Neodiprion lecontei: one gene and its partner. The main gene of each other region encodes a partner of the protein of the gene in region 2 in a complex. Links are inferred from orthologs where the notes say so. Each region holds a gene or a part of one and is shown on either strand. Other genes may lie near its edges.

What was found.
Region 1: 2-(3-amino-3-carboxypropyl)histidine synthase subunit 1 (region 2) and DPH3 homolog share a complex: the UniProt entries of both Caenorhabditis elegans proteins name them as parts of the 2-(3-amino-3-carboxypropyl)histidine synthase complex. The link is inferred for Neodiprion lecontei from reciprocal best matches to the Caenorhabditis elegans genes dph-1 and dph-3.

What each region holds. Positions count from the first base shown.
Region 1 is NC_060261.1:12,575,954-12,581,272, forward strand, and holds the start of DPH3 homolog, read left to right. Parts: upstream 1-2,048; 5' UTR 2,049-2,170; exon of another isoform or gene 2,171-2,391; coding exon of another isoform or gene 2,392-2,438; intron 2,439-5,319. Other genes in the region: matrix metalloproteinase-14, read right to left, coding at 1,894-2,048. UniProt on the Caenorhabditis elegans protein: Required for the first step of diphthamide biosynthesis, a post-translational modification of histidine which occurs in elongation factor 2.
Region 2 is NC_060264.1:26,690,542-26,695,493, reverse strand, and holds 2-(3-amino-3-carboxypropyl)histidine synthase subunit 1, read right to left. Parts: upstream 3,408-4,952; 5' UTR 3,037-3,407; coding exon 2,721-3,036; intron 2,437-2,720; coding exon 2,129-2,436; intron 2,052-2,128; coding exon 1,668-2,051; intron 1,510-1,667; coding exon 1,279-1,509; 3' UTR 820-1,278; downstream 1-819. UniProt on the Caenorhabditis elegans protein: Catalyzes the first step of diphthamide biosynthesis, a post-translational modification of histidine which occurs in elongation factor 2.

The DNA of each region.
Region 1 (5,319 bases), on a different chromosome or scaffold from region 2:
TCTAGCACCTTTGCGTGTGTATCTTGAATTGAGTGGATTGTGCGTAATACAGAAGGGATGGTTTTTCGACGACGGCGAAGAAGGCTTAAAAATATTTAACCGCAGTAATTCAAATAAGTCTGATAATAGTAATTTGTGTCCTTTCAAGTCTGTATCAACAAAACAAAAAGTAAAACATTCAAGTATGGAACTAATCGAAATGCATCGTTATACGTACATTTCCCCTTCAACGCTGACCATTATTTCCAAATCTGATCATCAATAATACCCTTGATTATTTTTTTACCATAACTTTGGCAAGATAATTTGTTTTCCAGAACTTTATAGTATATTATGTAAAGAACTTGAAACCATTCCATTATTCTCTCCAATTATAAATCAGCTCGAAATCTCTGGTTATATACCATATAATATGAAAATAGTAACGATAATGATCCTGATGATGATAATAATAATAAAAATCGTCACAACAGTGTAACGCAGTAGAAACCCTGAATTTCGGTAGATTGAATCAAACAAAGTTTATAACACTACCTATGGAAAAATCTATATACGATTCCATCATTGAGAGAAGATGTTTGTACTGTTACTGTTGTTATTTTTATTATCATTATTATTGTTTTAGTTGGTGTTGTTATTACTATGTCACTGATATTAAAATGATTGACGTTCTTTTATATTATTATGAATGTGGTAAAAACAGGGTTTAATAATATTAAATATACTATACGTCGGTATAATCTCATTCATTGAATAATCATCTATCACTATAATATAGGTAATGATAATTGATATCCTATCTCGTATCCTATATTCATTTGATAATTGTTATATAATTATAGTTCTATGACATGACATTGTAATATGTTACATAAAAATATCACTGACTGAGCAATATGTACATAGCTTATGTAGTTTGAATTGTATAATACAGAAACTGAAATTTCATGCTCGAACCGCACAGTTAGTAGTTCATTGTAGTATAATGTTTTTGTTATTATTTTTACCACCGCGAGATTCGTCTACTAGTACATATAATTTGAATAGTTTATAACCAATTTTTTTCGACTCACACAGCTTCTTGGCAGTATTGAAAAGAGCAAAGTTCGTTACTGTAATGTGCTAATCGACTGGAAACAGAAGCTAATTACTTCATCACAATGAGTATAATTGTTTGTATTCTGGAATTTGATGATTCTTTGAAATAAGATGAAATTGTTGTGCGATTCAAGGACAGAAGATTTATCTAACGTTCGATTTTCGATTTCGATCGAGCCTGCCAAAAATTATTTTTCAAAACATTCGCAAATGTCTTCAAATTTACTCAAAATGTGAATTTCCAACAGTTTCCCAGTTTTTCAGATAAATCTTTGGACAAATCCTGATAATTCCTAGGAATTTTGTAGAAGTATATCAATTTTTGTAGGAAAAAAAAATAACTTCACCAGATTTACGAGAAAACGCTGATATTTTCTGAAAACTTACGAAAGTTTTCTTTATTACAGGTATGTCCAGATTTTTTCAGTTAGAATTCATTCTTCCTGAGAACTGTCCGAAATCACGGTATATTTTTGAGGAACGTCTGAACTTGTTTACGATTAATTTCTAAGAATCTTTGCACCAATATCGATTTTCGGTTTTTTATATTTACCTTGCGGTTCCTGCAACCTGCGTTTCTGGGTTACAATGGTATCGACGTCGATATACCGCGCATTTTGAATTTGAAATTCGAAATTCAAACTGTCTTGGTCCCGTCAACGGTCGTTATTGGGATGTTGGCTAGACATCTCACTTTGTCACACATCTCTAGTCCAAGTTGAGATCGTAAGTTGTTTCGATTCTTCTTCACTCCGCACAACGTTATACGAAGAACGAATTCTACCACGCTGGAAGCTATGAACCGGTCAAAAACTTTGCGATGAGAACTACTGCGAGCGCGGTTGCTCCCCGCCATGTTGGATTTCCGTTTACAAGATGGCCGCCCCCCGGAGCCGACGAACTCGCCGAGTCCTGATTCGATGACGTCGCTAGTTCCTCGTCGGTTCCTCCTGAGAATATTACCAACATTGTTCGAGTTTGTTCGATTGGCGGAAAATTGACGCGAACCACTGCATTCTCGCCGGAGTTTTACGGCGAAGAGAGGCGACACGTGTGGCGGTTGTGGCACGTGGTAAGAGTTTTTTTTTTTTAGTTCCGTTTATGTTTGCGAATGAGTTTGAATTTGTGTTGCCGTTTTTCACGTCTTATCCTTCCGTTTGTGACTTCTGGGGTCCTCTAGATCTTTCCCTTTGACGTTAGGCAACACACACGGGGCAGGCGAGTGTTGTTTGGAACTTATTTGGCTGATTAATCACATTGCGGTAACTAGTTGCCGCGTCGTGATTTGGTTTTTCATTTTCTTTCGAATCCGTAAAACCCGAATCGAAAGTTTGGCTCCTCTGGAAATACCAGGTGAAACACCTCGTTAATTCATTGACCACTCGTCCTTGTTAGTAACTCGCGGAAAATTAGGGGAATACATTGCATCTCTTTGTTAACAAGCATCAGAACGGTTCAACATAACCTTAAAACCCTAACCTTGAGTCGTTTCGCTGTTACATTCTTAACGTTACATTCACGGTGGCGACTTTTACCGTCAATTGAACTCACATACCATTGCCTGGAAACAAACTCCTTCATGTTCGTCTCCGTCGGTAAAAAGTCATTGGAGCGCTTTTCGATCGGTATTGTACCTAATTTTGTATGTAACTGATTTCGTCAATATTTCAGTTCAAATGCAAATCGGGTTCGATTCTAAGCTGTAAATTTCTTGTAGTCGTTCTGAACACGTGAAATTAGAATTCAACGGTTGTTTTTCCTATTTAACTAAATTCTCACAATCTTATCTATAGGAATTTTGACGTATGGAGATTTCAAGTTTCCTAGTCTTGAATAGTAACAGAAAAGATGTCGATAAGCTAGTGAACCTATTGTAAGATATTTGATTCTCGGACTCATGCAGCGGCTTTGAATTTTTACAAACTTAAACTTGTTCAAACTAAAAAAAAATCGAAATTAAGTTCTCTGATTCTCCTTTTTCAAGTTTCTACTAAAGCAATATTTTCTTTCGTTCAAGCTTACTTCATGTTTTTCAATTAAAAAAATTTGTACAATTTTTAAATTTTCGTCCGGATTCGATTTCTGATTGCTGAAGTGTTATGTGAAAAAACTGGTATTACGGTGAATTCGTTTTAAAATAGGCTCCTATAAAGGTTGAATAATTTTCTTTATATGGGAGTTCAGTTTTCGAAATTGGTCAATATTCACACTATTATAAGGCCAAGCTAATTATTTGCACCAAGGCATGTATTCTGGCAGAGAAGCTGTACATGATACGTATTTTTTTTATCATTATTGTTATCATTATCACCATTAATCTGTTTAATTTTTTTGACTTTTGTCATCACTTTCGAAGTCAACAATTACGAGGAATTGGGTTTGCCGCAACATGTTTAGTTTACCCTAAACGTTCATTCAGTTTGTGAATTAAAATCTTTTTAAATTGTTACACTATTATATGATGTTGCAAAATGTAGGTACCGATAGATTTGAAGTCAGAGGTGTTTGAGACTGTTTTTTTTTGTTTTTTTTTTGCACATAATTCTCTCAACGTCACTATCCAGTATTTCTAACCTAATCTTGCGCTAATATTTTAAGCCACTAAACAGTGACGTTAGAAAAATGGTGCGCTTCAAAAATTGTTTCAACTCTTGCGACTGAAGCTATTATTGAACATGTAAAATATGGTTTTCGTTGTTTGAATTGATCTTAAGAAATGATAGTTGAAAAAGAAGAGATCGATCGTTGTTTTCCTTTGGCAAACCCAATTTTTCGGATGCAACTGCAAATCGTAAATCGTTGGCCAATGGATTAGCGAGTAGACGGCAAAAAAAAAAAAAAAAACCGCCCCCGTTTGAAGCAAACTCCATGGATTGCAATTTGTAGTAATATAGAGATAGTCATGTAGACAGATAGATAATAGATAGATGAAGGTGAAAATTATAATCGATGTAACGAATATAATGTCAAACGTATATAAAAGATAGAATACTGAAGTTGCATTACGTGCCAAAAGTGATAAAGAGAATATAAGATAATGATACAGACTACATCGTGCAGGGAGTAACTTAGATTTAAAATATATAATGATAACAAGATGATATCAAAGTAGTAAAGGCTAAATAATAATTGAACGTGCGTTAATTGTTGCTAACAAAGAGATTCCGGTGGATTTTTAGAGAGCGCTAATCAATACGGGGATCAGGAATTACGAGAGCGTTTTTACGGGATTTACTGGTTAGCAGGATTACAGACACAAAATACTCATTCGATTAGATCAGAGTTCCAAACAACGCAGCAACCGCCAATTGCAATTTGCCAAGTCTCTCTTACCATGCACCACATTTTCCGCTGATTTTAAAAAAATTATTATTAGTATCTTCATCGGCAGGTATATAACATTATATAATAAACGGCTGCAGTGTCAATTCCATACCAAATTACATATTATTGTGAAATGCATTTTCGTGCGATGCTTCGCAGTATAATAGCAATAATAATACGTTCAAAACCGTTATCATATTGAAGAGTGATAGAGATAGATAGAAAATTGAAGGTCTATGTGAAATACAGAAAGAGATATAATCATGCAGGTAAATTACTGGTGGGAAGCGGAATCTACTTTTCCTACACCATTTTTTTCATTCCTTTAGCAACGAAATATTGAAACAGATAAATAAAAAAACTAAGTAATAAAAATTTGAAAATCAATAACAAAAGACAATAGAGAAAGAACTAGAATTTTGTACGATAATAAAGCTTGATATCGCAAGCATATACTGCACAAATTTGAAATTTGAAATAAAAAAAAATACGACTTATTTTTTTTAAGGTACTTAAAAATTATGTAAAACATTTCGATTGTATTAAAAAAATTGACTCTGGATCAACTCTGGATTTGGCGACGGCGACGGTGACGTCTTGGTGACACATTATTATAACATTACTATATGTATAATAGTAATAATTGCCTCATTGTTTTGTAAAGTATATAAAAAACAGATCACATTTAACAGAGTTACGTTTAATAATTATTTTTTTAAATATCTCTCTCTGCTGTTGTTTTTAAAAAAATTTGTTTAATGATCGCGTGGCGTCCACAGCGCCTGGCTAAAATACTTTTGGGCTAGATGAGAAACAGTATAGATCTATTCTAACTAAATACGAAGGGGGCCGGGGGATAATTTAAAGTACTTAACGACTGCAGAATAACCCTAATGG
Region 2 (4,952 bases):
TTCATGCGAGAATAAAATGTATTATTGCAGCAAATGGTAGTTCAATTAACGGAGTACATTTTTTGACATTGTTGTTACGCAAAACAAAACTTTTTCTCGATATCTGTATTCGGTATTGCATATAGAATTGCGCTGACTGCGGCATTTTTAAACTAGTGTCGCGGAAACTTTGATAATAGTCAAAATAAATAAGTGACATTTACTCGGTCAGTAAATACTAACTATAACATCCTTTTCAAAAATATTTCGAAAAATAAGGTCAAATCCCTACAAACCATGTTTCTCGAGTCAACGAGCCTTGTGGTAATAATTGTGTCAACACAAATCGATTCGTTATCGTCATTCTGCGCGAATTACATTCCTGCAACGCACACCCGATATGTGGGAAAATACAGGGGTTGGTTTGTTGAGCGTTTACGTGCCTACAGGTGGGCGTATGACGTCAGTCGCCCACGCGGCTCCTTTATCTGTACCCATTATCGCGACAACATCCCGGCCTCATGTTGCGGGGATGCGACGCGACGCGTCGAAGATTCGCGCGGCTGCGCATATCGGGCGGCGCAAACGCGCCGCTATTTAGGTGAGGCCGGGGCTGATTCCCAGTCAAAATGAATTTTTTCCACCACACCTGTTGCCTGATATTGTTATTCAAATAGAAATCGATTACTGAGATGGGGGACAAAAACGCCCACGTGATGAACAAAGTCCAGCTAAGCTTAGCTTTGGCTTTGAATCACTTCCGCATTTTGGATAATGAAGCAATGGATCACAGAGCTTCGCAGCTTACACCAGAGTTCAAAAATTACAGACTTGATTTAGTTTGTTTTAAGATCATGTTTATTACTCTCAATAACAACATCCCGCAATTACTGATGTTACATCGCAAATTCAAGACTGTATTTGTTCAGGAGACGGTACTGGTAAATAATGTACGCGTACCGACAACAAATTACACGCGGAATGTCAAGTGAATCTTCAATTTCAAACTATTTTTCATTTCAAATAGTGAAAATCCTATTTCCTCTTATCTTCTAGATAACGACGTAGATTAGGCAAAGTTAAGCATACAACTTTTAGACTAGTGAACGGAAAAAATTCAAACGATAATCTGAAGGGTATACGGTTTACCTAGATTTCACGGTCGATATTCCCAGTAATTACAAAATATTCCTGATTCTTGCATTCACTAGATACATCATTAAAACTAAGTATAAACGTTTCAATACAAATATCAAATAGGATAGAAAAGACATTTATTTTTCATATATTGAATATTGGCTATTTGACTTCCTTGCACTTTCCACAGCATGCATCGGTCTGTTTTTCCAAATCTGCAGGTTTATGGTTTGGTGTCCACGGGCCTAAACTTGCAGAAGCATAAAAGTCCATAGGATATGGTCTGTCATTGTCCAACTCTGCTAGCTTCAGAGAAACTGAACCCTCGTAGGGCGTCAGTAAAGGCTTTTCAAATGCTGTACCCCAATCTATGCTCAGCCTTGGACATGCGACCTATGAAACAAAGTGTGTAATATAAGAAAACCGATGTTAGACTCGCAAAACTTGAAAAGCCTCGAACGTTACACAAAAGAAAGGTAATCTCAAGTTATATATATCTGAGGAAAAAAGACAGACAATGTATAATTTCCATAGCAAGCTAAGTATCGTACCTGTATAAATGCATCAATATCGTCAAATAACTTTAGTTTATCAGGAAATATTTCTGAAAGAAGAATAATAACGGCTTCTTTCTTCAATACTTTGATCCGTTTCTCAATAGTCTTTAATACATCGGGATTTCCCTGTCGACCCAAGGTGCCTAGTATAAGTCCAAATTTCTCCGCACTTTTAGAAGTTTCAATCGCGGTTCGTCTATTACTTCGCATTCTTTCATGGTCATAGAATTCCTCAGTTAAACTCTTGTCGTAAGGATCGTAACGATAGGCCCGCAATTTGGGGTTCGCAATCATTGCTGCCTCCAAATGAAAACGACCGTCTCCCAAGTATATGACCGCATCTGCGCAGCGAATCTGAGGCGCCGTACACCCGAGCACCTGATTAAGAAATGAAAGAAATTAATGAACACATTCATTAATATATTATGGTTAGTCAATTATTTTAAGACGTTTACTTCGCCAGGGCTAAGAGGTCTGCTTTGTGGTACGGTAACTTCATATCCAGCTTTTCTCATCTCGATAGCGACAGCCTGGAGCGTTGAGGCAAATTGAATAGTGCTGACTAATGCTATTTTCGTTGTTACCAACAAGTTTGCCTGCAAAGACTTTATGCAATGCATTGCATCGATTTTTATATCAACAAATATATACAGGACTTTGATTCCCACTGTTTTGTCAACTGGTATTAGGCAGGAATGACCATAATGGACAAGCAGATCGACCCCGAGAGCCTTTGCCGTATAATCGTCAATGCAGCAAGCACCTGGAAGAAACATTCACCGTCAAACGTCATTGTTGTCCTATTTGGTAAAAGAGTTTAAATTTACTAAATCTAAATATTTGAGATTATAGCTTCAATCAAGCATAAATTTTGTCAATGTATTATTCATCATATTTAATTTTAACATATTTGGAAATTCAATGGCCTAGAGACGATATACCATAAAATTTGAAGTTTCGGAATAGAAATCAAACTTGAAGTGAGATTCTAATGCAAACTAAAACCGAAAAAACACAAATCTAAAACAATTTTGATTGTAATCGTACCATAAGTAACGTCTCCCATAATGACAGTTTCAGCGCAAGTGAATTCTTCTATAATGTCAGAAATGGTGGTCGCAAAAATAAGGAGACCTTCAGGCATTTGAAGAGCTACTCTTTGTGACTTGAGTTCTTTTATTCTCCATATTGTTTTGTGAATTTCAAAGTTATAATTTGTCGGCAAAACTGCAATGGCGGCATTTAGCAACGGGTCGTTTAACTGCTCAGGGGGTATTTTATTTACCCTCACCGGGGCCTTATAAACCCTTCTTACTGGCTTTGCCTTCACCACAACAACTGTGGATTCACCTTGCTCACTCATTGTTATAATTCACGATATCAATCTGTAGATGTGCACTTTTGAACTGTTTTGTAATAAAAGTGAAGTTTGGCTACTTTAAATATTTTCTTATCAATTGTTCATCTACTTTTGTTACCGATTCTTCATGAAAGTTGTCAATTTACTTTATCTTTTCATTTTTTACTATCCACAATGTGCGTATAATGTATCCGCTACGTTTTTCCTACTTTTTCCATACATTACGAGAATACTTCGGACATCATTGTTTACACTTTAAACTAATTTGGTAAATCCACGTTAAGAGGTAACTTTGCTTTTTTGACGTTTCATTTGCTGTTAGATTAGGTTAGATGAAAGTTGAAAGGTTAGGAAGCTTCATCTTGAAAAAAACGGATAGAAGAAGATCACCTTGATTCCAAAACTGGACTACAAAATGTGGTCAAGTCGGTTTCTACCTTAACCGCGAAAGGCAGTCATACAACAAGTGAGATCCAAGATGACGTTTGTACTTTGCTTTATTACTTGTTTATGCTGTTATTCCTGAGCCTTGCCAAATCTAATTTCCTTTGTAAGGAATAAATAAATTTTTTGATCCCCAGAATCTATTTTTTCACGCTCTTTTACGCTGCTAGAAACAGGCGTTTTTTCCCGCTGTTTAAAATCCATAAAATGAATACAAGTAGAATTAGCCTTGTGCCCAGTTTAATTAGCGGTAAAATTTCTGCCAGTGGTTAAAAATAAGCATCTAGAAATTATCGTCAATACATCTAATTTCCCGCTGAAAGAAGAACGGGGCTTTTTCAGAATGCATTAAATGCCCAGTGCGCATACGCCAGAGTGTGTAGTTTTGCTGTAAAAATTGGAATCCGATTCGGTTCTCGGTTCTGTCATTGTTTTCAGCCTACATGGCAACAATCGGTTCTTAACCGAAAATTTACCTTGCGTCATATACTCAAAAGCGTCATGCACAGCGTTATAATAACTAGATACATATGCACGCAGTTCTAAGGATGGTCCGATGCAGCGATACCTAAAGATTCTTTTATTAGGTTGTAAGTCTCGTTCTGTTCGATCGTTCGATTCCGAAGCAATACGTCTGATCATCTAAGCCAGCTTCGCTGTGAGGTATGTAGTTAACAATCGCAAATTAATTTTCTTTTACCAAAAATTGATCGAATCCTTTTAGTATATTCGTTATTTTATCAGTGTCGCGTGTGCCTTGTACGATACATGTGTTCATGCTTGCTTTCTGCTTTCACCAATGTATACAATCAGTTCTGCCTACAATGTTTTGCAAAAATTTGTGCTTCCACCAATGTATCCAATTAGTTCTACCTCCAATGTTCTGCAAAAATTTACTAATACCTGTTACGATTGTTTTCATTAATGTTATTTAATCTATTTGAGAAATGTTCCTTAGCGTGTTGTTAAGATAATAGTAGAACATTATTTTTATTCAGAATGCTTTCTTTTTTCGAAAACTTGGAATGCACTGCCGGCCCACATTAACCCCTTAACATACGATTTAAGTTCCGAACGCGCGGGCCCATAATCAACAGCAAGGTCGGTCATACGTGTAAATACCACGGCTCTCACTCGTGATTCTCATGTTTGGCCCGATCGACGTAGCACGTCTCTCACACGAATATTGTAGGTGAAGGGGTTAAGAACTGTAACATTATGTACCGCTCTAAAACTAGTCTGTGGAATTATACTGCAAAATTTTAATGTATGTTGTATAGTATTAGTGAGTAAGTGATTGCCAAAGCTTGTGTACTCGTCATATGATATAAATTATATTTCTGCACCTATTGATAATAGCTTAACTATTTACCATATGTATAGGACAGTCTTACCTGTTGATTATTTATAAATAAATAAATAAATTATTCTGGAAGAAAGATCAATGTATCTTGTTGGTTTCAAATAACTTTACA